Linked DNA regions of Ovis aries. The protein of the gene in region 4 interacts with the protein of the main gene of each other region in a pairwise test. Links are inferred from orthologs where the notes say so. Each region holds a gene or a part of one and is shown on either strand. Other genes may lie near its edges.

What was found.
Region 1: the proteins of TLE5 (region 4) and KRT40 interact in binary tests that used the Homo sapiens proteins (3 or more experiments, as listed by UniProt). The two-hybrid records come from large-scale screens. The link is inferred for Ovis aries from reciprocal best matches to the Homo sapiens genes TLE5 and KRT40.
Region 2: the proteins of TLE5 (region 4) and PRR3 interact in binary tests that used the Homo sapiens proteins (3 or more experiments, as listed by UniProt). The two-hybrid records come from large-scale screens. The link is inferred for Ovis aries from reciprocal best matches to the Homo sapiens genes TLE5 and PRR3.
Region 3: the proteins of TLE5 (region 4) and PRKAA2 interact in binary tests that used the Homo sapiens proteins (3 or more experiments, as listed by UniProt). The two-hybrid records come from large-scale screens. The link is inferred for Ovis aries from reciprocal best matches to the Homo sapiens genes TLE5 and PRKAA2.
Region 5: the proteins of TLE5 (region 4) and keratin-associated protein 10-12-like interact in binary tests that used the Homo sapiens proteins (3 or more experiments, as listed by UniProt). The two-hybrid records come from large-scale screens. The link is inferred for Ovis aries from reciprocal best matches to the Homo sapiens genes TLE5 and KRTAP10-7.

The regions. Positions count from the first base shown.
Region 1 is NC_056064.1:40,929,765-40,933,948, forward strand, and holds the start of KRT40 (keratin, type I cytoskeletal 40), read right to left. Parts: upstream 2,801-4,184; 5' UTR 2,799-2,800; coding exon 2,352-2,798; intron 1,517-2,351; coding exon 1,434-1,516; intron 14-1,433; coding exon 1-13. UniProt on the Homo sapiens protein: May play a role in late hair differentiation.
Region 2 is NC_056073.1:27,533,105-27,537,140, forward strand, and holds the start of PRR3 (proline-rich protein 3), read right to left. Parts: upstream 2,801-4,036; 5' UTR 2,760-2,800; coding exon 2,657-2,759; intron 1,944-2,656; coding exon 1,881-1,943; intron 1-1,880. Other genes in the region: GNL1 (guanine nucleotide-binding protein-like 1), read left to right, coding at 3,914-3,986.
Region 3 is NC_056054.1:31,181,397-31,185,510, forward strand, and holds the start of PRKAA2 (5'-AMP-activated protein kinase catalytic subunit alpha-2), read left to right. Parts: upstream 1-1,314; 5' UTR 1,315-1,356; coding exon 1,357-1,450; intron 1,451-4,114. UniProt on the Homo sapiens protein: Catalytic subunit of AMP-activated protein kinase (AMPK), an energy sensor protein kinase that plays a key role in regulating cellular energy metabolism.
Region 4 is NC_056058.1:18,528,392-18,531,272, forward strand, and holds part of TLE5 (TLE family member 5), read left to right. Parts: intron 1-648; coding exon 649-712; intron 713-2,055; coding exon 2,056-2,100; intron 2,101-2,725; coding exon 2,726-2,788; intron 2,789-2,881. UniProt on the Homo sapiens protein: Transcriptional corepressor. Acts as a dominant repressor towards other family members. Inhibits NF-kappa-B-regulated gene expression. May be required for the initiation and maintenance of the differentiated state.
Region 5 is NC_056054.1:262,544,338-262,548,347, reverse strand, and holds keratin-associated protein 10-12-like, read right to left. Parts: upstream 2,557-4,010; 5' UTR 2,407-2,556; coding exon 1,507-2,406; 3' UTR 501-1,506; downstream 1-500. UniProt on the Homo sapiens protein: In the hair cortex, hair keratin intermediate filaments are embedded in an interfilamentous matrix, consisting of hair keratin-associated proteins (KRTAP), which are essential for the formation of a rigid and resistant hair shaft through their extensive disulfide bond cross-linking with abundant cysteine residues of hair keratins.

The DNA of each region.
Region 1 (4,184 bases), on a different chromosome or scaffold from region 4:
TTCAGATTCGTACCTTTTACAGCAAAAGAGATACAGCCAATGCTTACTCTGCTGGACACTGAGAAAAGTGCTGAGCCCTACAGCTGAGGGACACATGACATCAAGGAACCCACATGCCATAATTTCTTCTACATCCAAATCATGAAAAATTCAAGCTTTGTGAGCATTCTTAGCTTGAAAAAATATTATAAAGGGAATCCTTGTGATGTGTGCATGTAGGTATGTGAGAGAAGAAGCGGAAGAGCCTACCATATGTTAAGTTCGAATTCAGATCTGGTCTTACTCTAGCTTGTACTTGCTTCTAAGTCCACAATACAAGCAGCTCATACAGCTCAATATCAGAGAAACAAATAGTCCAGTCAAACAAAATGCGCAGACTTAAACAGACATTTTTCCAAATAAGACATACAAATGGCCAATAAACACATGAAAAGATACTCTACATCTCTCATTATTAGAAAAATGTAAGTCAAAACTACAATGAGGCATCACTTCACACCAATCAGAATGGCTATCATCGAAAAAATGATAAGCAATAAATGCTGGAGAGGATATGCAGAAAACGGAACCTATGGCACTGTTGGTGGGAATATAAATTGGTATGGCTGCTATGGAGAACAGTATGGAGATTCCTTAACAAACTAGGAATAAAGCCCCCATATGACCCAGCAATCCCACTACCAGGTATACACTCTGAGAAAACCACAGTTCAAAAAGACAGATGCACGCCAGTGTTCATGGCAGCACTATTTACTGCGACTAGGACATGGAAGCAACCTTGACTTCCATTGACAGATGAGTGGATAAAGATACATACATTGATACACACATACATAAAGATACATACATGTACATGCATGTATGTAAAGATACATACATACATTGAGATAATACGTACAAATGGAATATTACCCAACCATAAAAAGGAAAAAAATGAGTCAGTTGTAGTGAGATGGATAAACCAATAGCCTATTATACAGAGGGAATCATTAATAAGTCAGAAAGAGAAAAACAAATACTGTATATTAATGCATATATATATATGGAATCTAAAAAAATAGTACTGATGAACCTATTTACAGAGAGGAAATGGAGATGCAGATGTAGAGAATGGTCTGGTGGACACAGCAAGGGGAAGGAAAGGGTAGGACAAGCTGAGAAAGTGACTTTGACATATACGTACTATCATGGGGAAAATAAATAGCTCATGGGAAGCTGCTGTATAACACAGGGAGCCCAGCCTTGTGCTCTGCGGTGACCTAGAGGGGTGGAATTGAGGCAAGAGAGGCTCAAGATAAAGGGGATATATATATATATTATATATATTATATATATATATAATTATGATTGGTTCATGTTGACATATGGCAGAGACTACCACAAGATTGTAAAGCAATTTCTTGCAAGGAAAAAAAAGTTCAAATTAAACTTACTTTGACCTAAAGTCATCAGCAGCCAGTTTGCAGTTGTCAAGCTGTACAGCAAGTCTACAATTTTCTGCCTTCGTACACAAGATCTGGGAAGAAAGTTACTATGTCATGAATGGTTCTTTGAAAGAAACCCACATATCTACTCATTTAATAACTATGCCAGGGTTTATCTTTTAAAAGTCTTTATAAGAAAATATAGGCCTTCAGCCTGCTTTTACTGACCATATCATTTCATGAAGGAAAAAGGAGGGCCAATTTATAAACAAAATAGAGAAATAAAAAGGTTGTTGTTTTTTTTTTAATGACTTAAAAACATTTTTGCAGTATTCCTTGGCCACTGAACTTAGGTAGATTTCTCTCTAGGAGTTTATATTATGACTACATCTCCACCCATGATAATAAAAATTTATCAGTAAGAAAAAGACATAATTACCAGGTAAAATTATATGGTTAAAAGATGACATTTCCATATCTATGTTAAATAATGTACTTGTACAGTGTTACACGCAGAAATAATTTTAGATATCACACTGCTTTTCCTCAAGGTAAATTTAGGGATAAGCGGGTTTATTGTGGTCATTTAGTAATTAGCGGCAGCATACAGGCTAGCGCTGATGTTTACTGACTTTTTCCCCCTCTATTCTTTTGGGCCATGCCGCATGGCACGTGGGGTCTTAGTCCCCCACCAGGGATGGAACCTAAGCCCGCTGCAGTGGAAGCACAGTGTCTGAACCATTGGACCACCGGTCACCCTGTTTGCTGGCTTTTTGTCCAGTACCCTTGCCTCTACATCACATTCCCCCTGGGAAGCCCCTCCCCTTTCCCTGGTTTCCCTCCACAGAACAGACTCTTGTAGTAGTAGAAACATAAAGCACATCACAGAGTGGGAAGGTGGAACATTAGGGTGATGGGATACTAGACCTTTTGCTGGAGATCTTCAATGGTGTCGAAGTAACACTGATAATCAGGGCACACCAACGGGACATCCTCTTCACTCTGTTCCCGGATCCTGCATTCCAACTCAGCATTCAACTCCTCCAGCCCGCGCACCTTCTCCAGATAGCTGGCGAGCCTGTCATTCAGGAACTGCATCGTCTCCTTCTCGTTACTGTTGAATGCACCGTCCTCACACCAGGCACAGTTCCCCAGCACGCCCGGAATATTACAGCTCCCCGCAAAGCAGGACGGTGGGAGGCACCCAGTTGGCAGACGAGACCCGGATAGAAAGCTGGGGGTCTGGCAGCTGGATGTAGCACAGGCGCTGGGGAGACAAGTGGTTGCCGCGGAACAGGTTGAGGCAAGCGCACAATCAGAAGCCCTGGCACTGGATTCAGAAGAGCAGCCCGTGGGGGAACAGTCAGAAGCCATTCTATCAGAAGTGAAGGGCAAAGACTAGTTGCAAAACTCCAACTGCCCGCCTCCAAAACTCTCATTCCCTCCCGAGACTTTTATATATACCCCACTTCAAATGGGTATTTACAGACTACACAGGATGTTTTCCGGTGCATTTTTCATATGAACATTCATTAGTGTTGTTTATTTGCTGAAGAAGAGTTTTATGCTTCGTAAAAGAGCCATAACTTCAGGTTTCTAAATAAAGACACCATCTCCATGTGCCAATAGGATAAAGCACTTGTTTCAGAAAATCTTCACAGGAAGCATTGTCCTTTTGACAGAATAAGGAAAGAAAGAGAAAATTTGGGCAATCAGTAATTATAGATACAACTGATTACACATAAAGGAAATCATATCCCTACAGATTTTGATCCTGTGCATTGAAAACTGCTCGTCTTCTTTTGAAATTAATGTTACAACTCATTTAAATGCTATTTATTTGTTTGTGCCCCCACCATAAAAGTGTTCTGTGTGATTAGCCATCTTCAATGCTTTTTGTGGTCTTGCTGTGCTCACATGGTGGAGGACTGAGTGTATACTGAATTTGAAGTGTGTGTGTGAGAACCATACATGCCCATGTGCAAACTGAAAAGTCACTTTACATAACTGATGGGCATCACTTTTGCCCTACATGCCAAAATATAAATTGGTTATCAAAACGTGGAGTTGTAATCTTTGATTTCCTGAAACTTGCCTTCTCTACTTTTCCTATGCTTCACTTTTATATCAGAGATACTGATTTTTCATCTGTATCTCTAATAAGAATGAAATATGAATTCTGTTATAATTTTTTAGTCTCAGGAAGCTAAACCTTCGTTAACTACACTTCAGTATAGAAGGAAGAAAGTTACAAAAGGCATTTCTTCTGGGACATGGAAGCTGTTTTCTCAGATTTACTAATTTATTTAATTTTGAAGGCCTCAATTTCATGAAAATTAAATATGCTGGAACTTGGGAATAAAAGTCTTTTGTATGAGTTCCAGCAATTCCATTGGATGAACTCCCTGGGGCAGTACTGAATGGATAGGGATCTGAGATGTAAGTTTTCTGGGTTCTTTCTTAAGTTTTATCTCCAATTTTCAGTTTTCTTGCCTTTGATTGTGGTATTTATTTCATTTTAAAAAGTGTACAGAGAAAATTGTCTGCAGAATGTTAAAGATCTTTATGGGGTGGGTAGCCCATTACTCCGACAAAGTTAAAATTTTCATGATCCAGAATAAACAATTATTTTTTAACTCTGAGTACTTCTTCCTTAAATAGCTGATAATGGGAAAACAACCAACCAACCAAAACCAAACCTGGAGACTTAAGATAGAGGATTAAAATAGTCTCTTAGAATTTATTATTCATTGAGCAAAG
Region 2 (4,036 bases), on a different chromosome or scaffold from region 4:
CCAGGTTGCTCGTAGCAGGAGTTCCTTCATTTTCTCTGCAGTGTGGTATTCCACTACATGTACACACAACTGATTTAGCCATTCTACTGATGGTGGACATGCTACTAGATTCCACATTTTTGTTATAGTGTGGGGATATAACAAAAAAAATGCTGCTATGAACATTTTTATATAAGTCTTCGGTACACACGTGGATGCATTTTTGTTGAGTATATATGTGGTAGAGGTATTATTGGATCCTTGAATATATGTATGCTTACGTTTAAGAAATTCGAAACTTGGGTTGTTCCTATTCACACTCCCACTACCACCATAAACAAGCTGTTATTCCTTGACAACACTTGGTAACAATCTTTTTCATCTTTGCCATTCTGGTGGGTGTGAAAAGCAGTGTTTTGTTTTGAAATTGTGATTGTAACTAACATAAAACTTTCCACTTTAGTACTTTAAGTGTGTATCTCTGTAGTGTTAAGTAATTTCTTGTTATTGGAAAACAGATCTCCAGAACTTTTCATCTTGCAAAACTGAAACTCAGTAGCTTCTAAACAACTCTTTCCCTCTCCTCGCCCCAGCTTCTGGCAAGTACCATTCTACTTTCTGTTAGTATGAATTTAGTTACTTTATATACTTCAGATCAGTGGAACCATACAGCATTTTTTTGTGTGACTGGCTTAGCGTCAAGGTTCATCGGCGCTGTGGCCTGCTACAGGACTTTCTTCTTTTGAGGGCAGAATCACATTCCATTACATGATCATACCACACTCTGTTTACCCATCATCCATCGATGGGCATCTGGCGGCTTCCATATCTTGTCTACCGTGCATAGTGCTGCTATGAACATGGGGTGTGACTCCCTCTTCAAGATCCTGCTTTCCACTCTTCTTGGTAAACACCCAGAAGTGGAACTGCTGGATCACATAGTAGTTCTATTTTAATTTTTTGAAGAATCTCCATACTGTTTTCCATTGTGGTTTCACCACTTTACAATCCCATCAACAGTACACAAAGGGTTTGGTTTCCAAGTTATATGCTTTTATCTTGCCCTTATCTGATGACTAATGATGCTGTGTTCTTGTTCATGTTTTTGGCCATTTAGATCTCAGTTTTTATTAGGTGGCTGTTCTAGTCTTTTGCCCACTTTTCTAACAGATTGTCAGAGAGTTTTTTATATGTTCAAAATTTTAACTCTTTATTGGTTATATTTGTTGCAAGTATCTTCTACTCTATGGCTTCCTATTAACTTAATGATGTGATTTGATTAATAGAAGTTCGTATTTCCTAATGTAATTCAGTTTATTTTTCCTTTATGCTTAGTGTGTTGCTTGTCTGTTTAAAAACTCTAATCTACTTTAAGACCATGAAATACATTTGTTTTCTGAAATTACTTCTTTACCCATGAATATCCAATTAACCTGCCATGATTTGCTGAAAAGGCCACTATTTCAATCCCATCTTCAAGAATGAAATGACCATATGTGTGTGGGCCTGTTACTGGACTCTTTATGCCATTCTGTTAATTTATATGTCTCTTTTTGGACCAATACCACACTGCCATAACTGCTACAGCTTTAAGATAAGTCTTGATATTCAGAGTAAGCCCTTCCCCTTAAAAAATTGTCTTTGCAATTTCTCACCCTGATCCTTTGCATTTCCATATAATAATGCAGAATGCTTATTTCTACAAAAACATTGTAGGGATTATAAGTGGGAATGCAATGGATCTATGGGTCAATTTTGGAAGAACTGTCATTTTACAGCATTGAGTTTTTCATTTAAGTACCGAATTCTTGATCTTTTTTTTACATCCCTTGTGGGTTTTAGTCCCTCCCTTGCTCCCTTTTCACGACCTAATCAAAGGATCAGGGCCCCTTTCTTCTCACCTGACTTGGGGTCACCAGGCTTTCCATTGGCCATGGGGGGAGGGCCCAGAAGGCTGGGTGGTCCTAAGAGTAGACATGAAAATATGGTCATCAGAATGGACTAAAAAACTGATGATCCTGTTCTTATATGCTTTCCTTCTACTACTCATTTCTTAATCTAACCAGTAAAGCCAGGTATATTCTCAACAGTGTTATGGGTTCTGACGCCCATCTATTTCCAAAGCATTTTCAGGATTTGCAAAGTGGAGACTCAGCCCTGTCACGGCGTATAATGAGAAAACGATACCTACAAACTTTCTCTCTCCCTTACATTGTTGCTATCCAATAGATCCCAAGTGACTCCTGAGATAAAACCAATCCCTCTCTTTAACTGCTGGCCAGTCAGATACCTCTCCTTTAACCCTATCCGCAAGGAGTTCACAGAAAGCTCTACTTCCACCTTCCCCATGCAAGTGTGGTCACAAACTGTCATCCCAGTCATCGCAATCTGCAACTTCTCTAGGGCCCCTCTCCCTCTGACGTTTTGCGGCTGCGCACATAAGTTCTTTATCTCCTCTCCCTTCTTTACAAAGGGTTAGAGGCCAGTTTGAAGTTGAGGATTCAAGAAAGAGAACTCATTTAGTGTTCCATCCCACACAGGCTCCCCCCCCCCGGCCCCCGCCCCAGCGCGTGCGCCCTTCCTCCCGTTAGACCCCTCTCCCCCGCATATTTTCAGCCTCTAACCCTTCGCCTCGACAGGCTGACAGGCATGTGCGCACCCCTCCGGGGCTCCTCACCGATGGGGCTCCCATCCTCCTCGTCTCCAGTCTCATCCCGCTCTGGCAGTGGGGGCTGCTGCTGCAGTTGCTGCTGCTGATTCTGCTTCTTTCGTTTCGGCATCGTGGTTGCGGCAATGGCTGCAGCGGGATTTGGAGGGCAGTGAGGAAGGGGCACGCTGGGATTCTGTTTCCGCTTCCGGGGGGGGCGGTGGACACTGAGGCTGAGGCTCCCGCCATTTCACTTCCGGAAGGCTGCGGAGAATCTTTGTGCGGTTCTTCTCGCATCAGCCGCCTCCCGCAGTCTCTGCCAGGCAGGGCAGCAATCTCAAACCTTTCCTTTGCTGCGTTGCTATAAACGCTTTGAAAAAGTTGCTCGCTCCTCCCCTCGCTGAAAGAAAATCCACAACCGGCTGCTCCTCACAGCCTGCCATAGAGTCGACTCTCGGGCCAGAAGGCCTGATAAGAGAAGGCTGTCGCATCTTGAGATCGCCATATCCGGTCCCCGGTTTCTATGGTAACAGCTGCAGGCACAACTTGGTGCCCTATGACCTCCCTCCCAAAATCCTTGTCCCACCTGGGTTTCTCTCCTCGGCGGCGCTTGCATTTATGATCTGTAAGCCTGCTCCTTATCATCATTCCCACAAGGAATTTGGGTCCCAGCAGGGCGCTGCCCAGGGCTCTCCAGACCGCCACCCACCCTTCAAGACCTCTGACCCGGCCCCCAGTGTAGTTCAGTAACTCTGCTTCCTTCCCGGGATGCGCAGTCGCGCCTTTCCTCTAAGGCCCAGCTGGAGGATTGGTAAAGTAGCTTATGCGCGTCCACGCCCCTTTCTCCCCAGGTGGTAGGACCCGCCCTCCGCTCCACCGCCCCCTCCAGGTGAGTGGTAGCTTCTCCCCGGCGCGCAAGGTAGTGATGACACGCGTCCCCCCTCCTCTGAAGGCGAGTTGGTAGCGTCCGTGACGAAGTTAGCCCGATCCTCCCACGCGCGCCTCCTTCCTCGCCGCCGCAGCGCCCTCTCCGTGCCACTGGCTCTCACGTGCGGGTAGCCTACCCTGCATCATCCTCTCGCCTCGCTCTCACTGGGAAGTGACTGTATTTCCCCGTTGTCTTCCACCCGGGCCGCCCGGGCGCAGCGGCCGGGCCCGCCCGCTGACGTCACCTTCAGCCCCGCCCCCTCCAGGGTCCCGGGCCCTTGCGGCGGGGGCTGCCCCGGGGGGAGTCAGTTGAGGCGGCGGGAGCTCGGCGGAGGGCGGGCCAGGTGACTGGTCCGGGCCATGCCGAGGAAGAAGCCTTTCAGCGTGAAGCAGAAGAAAAAGCAGTTGCAGGACAAGCGGGAGCGGAAGAGAGGTCAGTGCAGGAGCCAGAGGAGGGGGCGGGGCTCGGACTCCCGCACATCT
Region 3 (4,114 bases), on a different chromosome or scaffold from region 4:
AAACATTTATTCCCAATAGGCAAATGATTTTTAAGCACTGACAGGCAACACTGGAAACTAGGAGACTGAAGGAAGGAAAGAAGAAAGGAGAGGAGAAGGGAGGGCGGGAGGAGTAATCACTGTACTTACTGTATCTTGGCAGTTTTTAAGGCTCTGCCTGCTTCTAGTTTCCTCTTGCCGTTTCCTCACTCCCCCTTCAATCTTTACCTTTAATTTGTGCCCTTACATTGCCCTTGTCCCTTAGGTAGCTTACTCCCCAAGCTCACTACGTTCAGTTTCCCGCTTCAGTTTCTTCCACTATTTCCCTCTTGTGCAGCTCTATCACAATTTCTTTGCTATATATACTTGATTAGTTGTGTCTAACTCTTTTGCGACCCCATGGACTGCAGCCCGCCAGGCTTCTCTGTCTATGGGAATTCCCAGGCAACACTATCGGAGTGGATTGCCATTTCCTTTTCCCTGGGATCTTCTCAACCCAGGGATCAAACCCTTGTCTCCTAGGCGGATTCTTTACCACTGAGCCTCCTAGAAAGCCCATATATTTATATGTCTAAAATACAGTTGAGCAAATATTGGGACTGATTGGTGAACTTTGTGCAAATTAGTTAGAACGGAGAGCTCTAGAGAGGGTATCTCCTCCATAACTGAGAATTAGACAGAACGTAGAGGAGAATCAGTGAAGCCAGCAGAGTTGGCTTTTTTTGTTTGTGCCCTGGTGACCTGTATGAAAACAGTGCGTGACTCCAAAAGCTTCCTTGTGACTCTCCTCCGACTGACCTTCGATCAAGGCCCTTCCCCACTGCCGCCAGCCCTGACTTCCCTCGGACCCACACACTGCTTTTCACGCCCCTCTCTCCCCACACTTCAGGCCTGTTTCTCTTCCCCAGGTTCTATTAATACTTCCATTGCTTTCCACTCGCCAAGATTCGGCCCAAATCTCACCCTCTCATTCGCACCGTCAGGTTCTGCTAGAGGGCCCCTTAACCCGGCTCCCACCCCAGGGCCCCTCCTCCAGGTAGCGAGGCGACATCCTTCCCCCTCCCCGCTCCGCGCACACCTGTCGGCCTCCGACCTCCCCCGCACCGAGCGCCCACGCTCCCTCCACTGCGCCCCCAGGGCCCTGGCCCCGGGCCCACGCCGGCCTCACGCCCGCCCAGGGGCCTCGGCGCGCCCCCGCCCCTGCCCCCCACCTGCTCGCGTCCCCCCTCCCCCCGCCCCGCCCCGCCCCGCCCCGTCTCGCCTGGTCCCCAAGTCTCGGGCCCCCGCCCCCCGCGGGCCCGCTGCACTGTGGGTAGGCGGCGGCGGTGGCCGCGCAGAGGATCCCGCGGCGGCGGAGCGAGGCTGCGCGCGCCGAACATGGCTGAGAAGCAGAAGCACGACGGGCGGGTGAAGATCGGCCACTACGTGCTGGGCGACACGCTGGGCGTCGGCACCTTCGGCAAAGTGAAGAGTTGAGTACGCCGCGCCTCGCGGGAGGCCGAGCCCCGGAGTCCGGGTGTGCCGGGCCGCGAGCGGGCAGCGGGTGGCGGGGCCTGGCGGCAGGTGGAGCGGCCGCGCCCGGGCCGCGCGGAACCTGGGGACCGAGGGAAGGCAGTGGGTACCGCTTCGCCCCGCGGCAACGGCGGCGTCCCGGCGAGGGGGCTCGGGCGGGGGCGTCGCGAGGTCCTGGGACTGGCGTCCAGCACGCTTCTACTGCCCGACCTTAGTGCCCCCCTCTGAAACCCGGAGATTGGGTTGTTGGGCGAGATGCCTTTCAGCTGGGAGGCTGCAAGGACCCTGAGGAATGACCCACGGTCCTGATGGTGGAGTTCCCATTTCGTGCCAGGTGTCCCGTTAGGTGCTTCACGTGTGATCTCCTGTAATCCTTACAGCAGCTGCAGGTGTTATCTTCGCCTGTAACGTGAGAAAACGGGGACCCCCTAGCAGGGACGTGTTCAAGGTCACACTGAAATTGGCAGAACTGGGATAAAGGTCTAAAATGTCCTCCAATTTTGGCCAGGCTGGGAAGTCCTGCTGTCTGGATTCTTTCGTGCTCCCTGACTCTGGATTAGTAGGGCTGGTAGTTTACGGGGGATCCCCGGGGCGCGAGGTGGGTGGGTCTTTCTGCTGGCCTTGGGAAACGCTGGGATGTACCTGGGTTGGGTCAGGGCTTAGAACTGGGAGGTCTGAAGGTTGCTTGTGTGTGTAAAATGGTTCTAGGAAGGCTTCCAGGATGGAGGGAAAGGAAAAAGGGACTTTGGAGTTGGATCTTGAGGATGTAGGGCTGAGGCCAGAATTGCTAAGACGTACTCTGCTGAGCTCTGTGTTCCTAAGTGATGGGATCCCATTTTGGGTGTAGAAAAACAGGCTGCTTTGATTTTTTTTTTTTTTTTTTTTTACTGGTTACTAGTTAAGTATTGAACTTTCCTGTTTTTCTTAAGAGTCATGTGAGATTAATTAACTTGTCCTCTCTCCAGAACTAGAACCAACTTATTAAAAATACTTCTTTTGGTTGTTGCTTTTTTCTTTTTTCATTTTGCTGAGAAAATGTTGGGTAGGCAGCTTGAGGATTTTATTGAGGCCTCTATTTCCTTAAAAAATCATAATGAAAAAATTTTAAGTTTTAAAAATTATAGTAAATTACAATTTTGTGTTAGTTTCTTCTCTATGACATTGTGAATCAGCTGTAAGTATACATGTATTCCCTCCTTCTTGAGCCTCCCTCCCACTCTGCTAGGTCATCACAGAACGCTCAGCCGTTCTCTGTGCCATACCTTAGCTTCCCACTAGCTAGCTGTTTTACACATGGTAGTGTAGAGATCAATACTACTCTTCCACTTCGTCCAAAAATCCTATTTTAACCTTGAATCCAGGCTGTAAGTGGATAGAAGAGACTCGTTCATTCATATGGTAGGGATCAGCTTTTATTTACTTGCACACATCTGATACCCTTTCTTTTGTTCAGTAAACACTTACTGAGTGCCTACAGTGTGCCAGGCACTGTTCTAGGTAATGGGGACACCCTAGGAACAAAATCATTAAAATCTTTCCTTTTGTGGTGCTTATATTCAAGTAGGGGAAGACAGTAATCACTGTATATATTTGTGTGTGTGTGTGTGTGTGTGTGTGTGTAGTATTTTTAGTGCTGTGAAGACAAGTGAATCGGAGTTTTGTGCAGTTCACAGTTTTCAGTAAGATTGTCAGGCATGGCCTTACAGATAGGGTGTATGTTTATATAAAGACCTCAGGTTTGTAAAATTCTTTCAAGTCCTGTGAGGGCTGTGAAGTCCTTCCTGGCTTAGGTTTGCAAGACCTCATAAAGTGGTAAGTGGAGAGAATATATTTAGAGTGAATATATGAAGATTCAGGAACTGGATTAATGCTGTGACATTACTAAGGACTATTGTGTTTTGATGTTACGCACTCAAGTCTTCACCATCTAGGCATGTACACTTTCCAAGTTATATAATGTATACTGTTCCTTTTCAAATTGCATTAAAAATTGTTGTTTTTAAAAAAATTATTGTGTAACCTGAATATTGGCTAAAATACCCATCAGATAGATCATTTGGTCCATTGTCACAGGACAACTTAAATCTCTTTTTGTATATATCCTTGAACTGACCTAAAATATAAACCAACAGAAGGTACTTGGATTTATGAGAAATCCTTTTCCTGGAAGACTCCTTCCCAGTGAGCAGCTAACTGGGGAGATTTCCTAACACTGTATGAACACCTCTCCAAAGTTAGTGCTCTCCCATCCAAAGTTAGGATTAGTACAGTTGCTTAATAAAAATTATATAAGTGCAGCAGTCTAAAGTTACTCATTTACAGTGGACCCTTGAACACCATGAGTCTGAACTGCAGAGATCTACTTTTACAACAGATAATTTTTTTCCTCTAAATAAATACTACAGTATTATACAGTCAAGGTTGGTTGAATCCTAAAATGTGAAACCATGAATACTGCGGGAGGAATATAAGGTTATACACAAGTTTTCAACTTCCTGGGGTCCAGTGCCTCTAACTCCAGTGTTGTTCAAGGGTCCACTGTAATTCTTTAAGGGACTACAAACAAAAGCACGCTTATTTTTAAACACAACTTTTTTTCAAGCATATTTAAGATATCCTAAAA
Region 4 (2,881 bases):
GGGCCTTTGAGAAATATCCAAAGCTCATCCTTGCTGGGGCAACCCAAGAGAGGAGGGGGATCACCAGCTCTATTATCCAGTGATAGAAATTTATACCCCTCCCCCAACCATGGAAATCAGAGGTCACAAGATGGGCTGGGGGCCTTTGAAGATTCCTTACTGAATTCAGTCCAGAGCCCTGCCAGTGGGCTCTGGGCCCTTGTAACCTCTCAGCAATGTCTGTTTATTCCTTCTTTGCTGGAGAGTTTTGCCCAGTGGGTGGGAGTATGGCCTTTGAAGCCAGCTTCCTGGCTGTGTGACCTTGAGCCTGTTCACTCAACCTCTCTGAGCATCCATTGCATCATTTTTATGAAGGAGACTGACGTTAACAGCCCTGACCTCGTTGGATTTCATGATAGGAAAAAGTTTCTTTGAATCCCTGTCTGACCTACAGTCAGGATATTTGCTCTGACTTCTGTTTTTATTATTTTCATTGCTTTCTCCACCCCCACATCTTCAAGGTGGGTTTCATCATCCCCAGTTTCCAGCTAAGGCACCTTTGGGTCCCCTTCCCCCCTCTTCTCTCTGACCCCCACCAAAGTTTGGGGCTCCCTTGCACAATGAGGGGGACATCATCCCAGCCCTGGCCCTCCCCCTCTTCTTCTTCAGTCTGAAACTCGAATGTGACAAGCTGGCCAGCGAGAAGTCAGAAATGCAGCGTCATTACGTGATGGTAAGCCAGCCCGGGGGTCTGGTGGGCAGGGCCAGAGGACCCCAGGTCCCCCTCCAGCACTGGCAGCTGCTGTCTGAACCCTGGCCATCTCCTCTGGGATGTGCGAGAAGTCAGGGTCTGCTCTCCGCTCAGCCAGCCCCTGGCCGGGCTGAGTTAATCTTGTTGGCCTGGCTGCCGGCCCAGGCAGTGGCCGAGGTGCCAAGCCACCGGGTTGCGGCCTGGGCCTGCCAGGTCCCTGGCTGTCCTTGGCAGCGGAGGAGCCAGTGGCTGTGAAAGCCAGGAACTGGGGTTAGAGGGGGGTTGTTGATCCCTCCCCTCCCCACCCCCACTGTCTAAGCATCCCAGGCTTAACCCCTCCTAGTCCAAGCTTGGAGGAGGACTCCTGGAGGGCCCCCTTCCCCAGGCAGGAGGCTGACACTCTTTTGAGGTGGGTGGGTGGAAGGGAGGGAGGGGGTGACACTTCCTTCTTGGGCCTGACATTGGAGACCCTGCCCCTGCACACTGCTGGAATCACTTGCTTCGCTTCATATGCACCAGGTGGTGATTTCTGCATCAAAACCCCTGCCTAAGCCCAGCCCAGAGCCCACTTCCCCCAGGCCATGGGGGAGGCAGAGCTGGACAAGGAACCTCTGGATTCAGAGGGATGGGGCTGGGGCACTCCAGAAGGGTATGCTCCTGTTTGGAGAAAGACTGCATGGAGAAGGAGGCACTGCAGCTGGGGTCCTGATGAATGGATAGGAGCCAGCTGGGCAGAGAAGGGGAGACCACACAAACCTGGCTTTCTCCCCCTATCTTCCCTGGGGGGTGATGGGGAGTCATAGGAAGGTTTAGAGCAGGGGAGGTGCAGGGTCAGATGTGGGGCATGAGGAGGGGGGGCGCTGGCCCCAAAGGCAGACCCAACAGGATTTGTTTATCCTCGATTATTTATACCCAGGAAGACAAACTTCCCTGGAGTCCGGGGCCACCCGCAGACAAGACACATAAAGATAAAAGATTAGGAGCCTTGGAGTGTGTGTGTGCCTGTGTGTGTGTGCGTGTGTGTGTGCGTGCGTGCGTGCGTGTGTGTGTGTGTGTGTGTGTGTGTAGGGGTTGAGGTCATTATTCCAGAAATGGGGCATTCAGGGCCCCACTGGCGTCCCTAGCATCCTCACCAGGCACCTGGGCCCCAGCTCCAGGTGTGGGTGTCTCCCCGCTTCCGACTCCATCTCTCTCGCCTGCCCTCCCCTCCTCCTACCTCTCTCTTTCTCCCCCTCTTTGTCTCTCTCTGTCACTTCCCCTGTGTCTTTTGTCTCTGGAACCTCACATCCTTCACCCACCCCCATTTCTGTCTCCCCCCTACACAGTACTACGAGATGTCCTATGGCTTGAACATCGAGATGCACAAGCAGGTATGCCCCCTTCCCCCCTCCTCCGCCCCCCTGCCCCGCCCAGGCAGGTAGGAACCCGCCACCCCTTGGCTGAGAACCAAGACTGCCTTGGTATCCTGTTACCTCCGGAGCCCCCCCACTTCTGTTCTTTCTCAGGCCTCCCTGGGAGGTTGCTCTCCCTGAGGGGGAGGGCAGAGGCTTTCCCAGGACCTGCCACCCTCACTCCATTGTCTCTCTTTTGTGACAGCCCTGGGGGAGGGGGGTGATATGACCTGCCAACCCACCCTCCAAACCCTATCTCAGGTGTGTTAGAGAATTCTGATGCCAGCTGCCCCGACCTCTTCCTCCCTCCCTCTCACGGAATGCTCACTACCTGTGAGGCATCGGGCATCTTTCCAGGGCCACCCAGACCCCAAGCCACTGGGCCTGGATTTCGCTCTGTCCTGGGCTCTTAGCTACCCTCAGAGACTCAGCCCCCGGGGCCACTTTTGCTGCTGATCGGGTGCCCATGGGCCTGATGAGTCGATATGATCCTGGGACTTGCCGGCCTCCTCTTGGATTAGACAGAACCGCTGGGCTTTCCAGGGCTGGTCTGCACCTGCCCTGGCTGGCTGCTGCCCAGGGCTGAAGTGTCTGTCTGTTCCAGGCTGAAATCGTCAAGAGGCTAAATGGGATATGTGCCCAGGTCCTGCCCTACCTGTCCCAAGAGGTGAGCAGAGCCCCCGGGGGTCTGCTGGGAGGAGATAGACCCTGAACTTCCCTCAGCCCCACCCCTCTGTAGGCATCTGTGTGCCCCAGGGCA
Region 5 (4,010 bases), on a different chromosome or scaffold from region 4:
TCGTGAAGACCTTTTTTGCATAGTCCTTCTGTGTATTCTTGCCACCTCTTCTTAATATCTCCTGCTTCTGTTAGGTCCATACCATTTCTGTCCTTTATTGAGCCCATCTTTGCATGAAATGTTCCCTTAGTATCTCTAATTTTCTTGAAGAGACCTCTGGTCTTTCTCATTCTATTGTTTTCCTCTTTTTCTTTGCACTGATCACTGAGGAAGGCTTTCTTATCTCTCCTTTTATTCTTTGGAACTCTGCATCCAAATGGGTATATCTTTCCTTTTCTCCTTTGCCTTTGATCACTTGACAGTGATTAAGACCATCCCCAACCAAAAGAAATGCAAAAAGGCAAAAATGGTTATCTGAGGAGACTTTACAAATAGGTGAGAAAAGAAAAGAAGCTAAAGGCAAAGGAGAAAAATGGTACTTGTCTTGAGTAAACTCAGGAAAGAGATTTACGAGTTGAGGCAGGACACCTGTTTACCAGTCCTCTTAGGGTTTTGCTCCATTCCCTCTTTCCTGGATGGAACTGAGCTGGGGTGGGGATAGTATCCCCTGGGGAGATGCCTTCAGTTCCTGGTCCCTCTTGCCCCAGCCACCACTGTTCTCCTGCTCCTATGGGCCTCATCAGTCTGTTTCTGGTGGGGGATAAGTAGTTGACTGGTGCTGACTGGTGCCCACTTCCTCTATTGCTAATGTCCACTAAGACTGCAGGCTCTTTCTCCCCTACTGTCCTGAGGGTTTGTTCACAAGGCGTCTCTTTTGTTCTGTCCCTCCTCGGTCAGGCTTTGAAACCTTGAGTAGAATGAGTGATGTCTAAATTGACACTGCACCCCCTTGGAGCCCCCAGAATCTCCTCCTCAGTGTTGGCACGTCTCTCCAACAGCACTTACCCTGGACTCTCCGATCCAGACCCAGGAGGGTTTCTGCTGCTCCCCAAGTCACCCTCAACCTGCATGGGCAGGGGGAGGAACCCAGGGCCCACTCAGGATCTGAGCCTTCTGCACCCACACCCGCCTCCATGTCAGCCTTGAAGGGCCGTCCACTGCAGGGAGAGTGAGCCTGGGGTAGGAAGGGACATAGAATGTGTGAATGGCACCAGCTTTCAGATCCTGTTGTTTCTCAGCTGCTTTGAACTCGGATGGGAGAATGTGTCTTTACTGCCTGGCTTCTGCCAGCAGAGCACCTACAGGCCATATTTGGAGGGGCTGAGGGGGCCCAAGGGAGGAGGCCAAAACAGACATGGGTCCATATTTCCTGACACAAACGCTTTATTCATTAGAGCAGCTGATGTTTGTCATATGGGATTCAAGCAGCCTGTCCTGCAGAGGAGGCTCCTGGGGCCCCACAGTCCACCCTGTCAAGGGCTTTCTGAGATGCCTGCCAAGTTCGAATCCTCTCTGGGCAGCAGCTGCGTGTCCAACTTTGGGAGAGGGGAGGTCCTGGCGCCAGCAGAGGGGCTCCTGGAGCTTGGGAGAGAGACAGCAGCTTGTGGAGGGCGGGTGATTGGCCGGTCAGCAGCAGAGCTCCGGGGCTGAGGTGGGGATGCCGCAGGCCAGGCGGGAGCATGCAGGCCGGCAGAGCAGGGACACAGAGGAGGCTGGGCGGCAGCAGCTTGGCTGGCAGGAGGAGGTGGGCACACAGCAGGCGAGGCGGCACGCAGGGCGGCAGAGGAGGGACACAGAGGAGGCCGGGCGGCAGAAGCTGGGCTTGCAAGAGGAGGCGGGCACACAGCAGGTGGGGCCGCACACGGGGCGGCACACAGGACGGCAGAGGAGGGACACGGAAGAGGAGGGTCTGCAGCAGGATGAGGGGGCTGAGCAGGGGGAGGTCTCACAGCACACGGGCCTGCAGCAAACAGGTGTACAGCAGACAGGCCTGCAGCAGACGGGCTCACAGCAGGCCTGCTGGCAGCAGGAGGAGGTGCAGCAGGAGGGCTGGCAGCTGGACTGCTGGCAACATGAGGAGGTTGAGAAGGGGGAGGCCTCACAGCAGACAGGCCTGCAGCAGACAGGTGTGCAGCAGACAGGTGTACAGCAGACAGGCCTGCAGCAGACGGGCCTGCAGCAGACAGGCTCACAGCAGACAGGTTCACAGCAGGCCTGCTGGCAGCGGGAGGAGGTGCAGCAGGAGGACTGGCAGCTGGACTGCTGGCCACATGAGGCTGGGCAGGAGCTGCTGCAGGCTGGCTGGCAGCAGGGGCTGGACTCACAACTCACTGGGGCGCAGAGGAGGGTCAGGCGGGGGGCCGAGGTGCAGCAGCTGGGGGCACAGCAGGGGGGCTCGCAGCAGCTCTCTGGACAGTCATCCACCTGCCAGGAGGAGCCGGTGCAGGAGTCACAGGATCCAGGCAGGCAGATCCGGCTGCTGTAGCTCAGGTCGCTGGAGCAAGCAGACAGGTTAGAGAAGGCCATGGTGGAGGTGGTACGGCTGGAGGAGGTGTAAGTGTGTGTGAGTGTGTGAGTGAAGTGCTGAGGGTGTCTGCTTTTATACCCGCCCTGAGTATGCGCGTGGCCCTGGTCGGAGGCTCCCACGCTCTCCCTTCCTTGTTGCTGTTTGGAGCTGACCCTCATTAGGGCTGCTGTGTTTTCTACAATTAGCTTTTACTCATTAAACATGTGAGTACGTTGCAAGAGTCTGTTTTCCCATCTGTTCTTTGTTTGGCTCCAGAAAACTTGTGGAGGATGCAAGACGCAAGTTTCTGCTGAATGCCTGCCAGGGTTCTTAAGTCACGTTCACGGAGGGAGGGGCTGAGCGTGAGACAAGTTCCCAGCCACTGCAGCCGCTCCCACTTCACGCCAGCCTTGACAGTGTGAGAATACATAGGGAAAGATGCCTAGCTTTACCGCAGCCCAAACTATACCTAAGAGCATTACTAAGAAGATAAGTTGCGAGCGAAATAGAAAACTTGACCAAAGAACACACACAACATATATCCACTGGGACCCGAGAGGTGTAAGCAAGAAACTCAGAGCTATAGACTGAATTACCACTCTTTCTGGATCAATCCATCCCTGATGTAACTTCAATCAGAACCCAAAAGAAATATTTTTGGCATATAAAGTGAAGATATTGAACTGCTAGAAAATATTTGCAATGTAAAAGTTGAAAGCCTTTACAACTAAAGCAGGATATGATACAATAGAATCAAACACAAGCACACAGTCCATTCAAATTTCCAATCAACATTTGAAAAGCTACTGGATATCACTGATAATTAAAAGGCTCTAAATTAAAACACAAATATCCCACCTGCAAGATCAGCCAAGATTTACAACACTGGTAACACCCAGTGCTGCACAGTCTGAGGTCCTCACTCTTCTTTAAAAATTAGTTAACTTTTCGCTGAGCTGGGTCTTTGTTGCTACATGTAGGCTTTCCCTGGTTGTGGCAAACGGGGCTTACTTTTTGTTGCAGTGGGCAGGCTGCTCTTGGCAATGGCTTATCTTATTGAGGAGCACTGGCTTTAGGACATATGGGCTTTGGTAGTTGTGGCACGTGGGCTAGTCCCAGACCAGGGATTAAATTTATGTTCTTTGCATTGGCAAGTGGATTGTTAACCACTGGATCACCAGGGAAGCTCTAGGGGCCTCCCTGTTAGAAATCCTTAACAGGTACGTTTTTTTTTTTATTACATGTAACAAATAATATAAAATTAACCATTTTAAAGTGTTCGATTCAGGGACATTTAGTACAGTCACAACACTGTACAACTATGACCACTATCTAGTCCCGGGACATTCCCAAAAGGAAATCTTGTAGTATTGGGTAGACCCTCCCCAGTCCCTGTCAAGCACCGCTCTGCTTTCTGTCTCTATGACTTTGGCTGTTCTGCTCATTTCATGTAAAAGGAATCACACAATAGGTGGCCTTTTGTGTCTGACTCCAACTTGGCATACATGTGGCATACATGTGTGCTTGATCCTTTTTTATGACAGGATAACATTCCTCATAGAAATAGACAACATTTTATTTACCCATAAGTCGATGAACATTTGGGCCATTTATACCTCTTGGT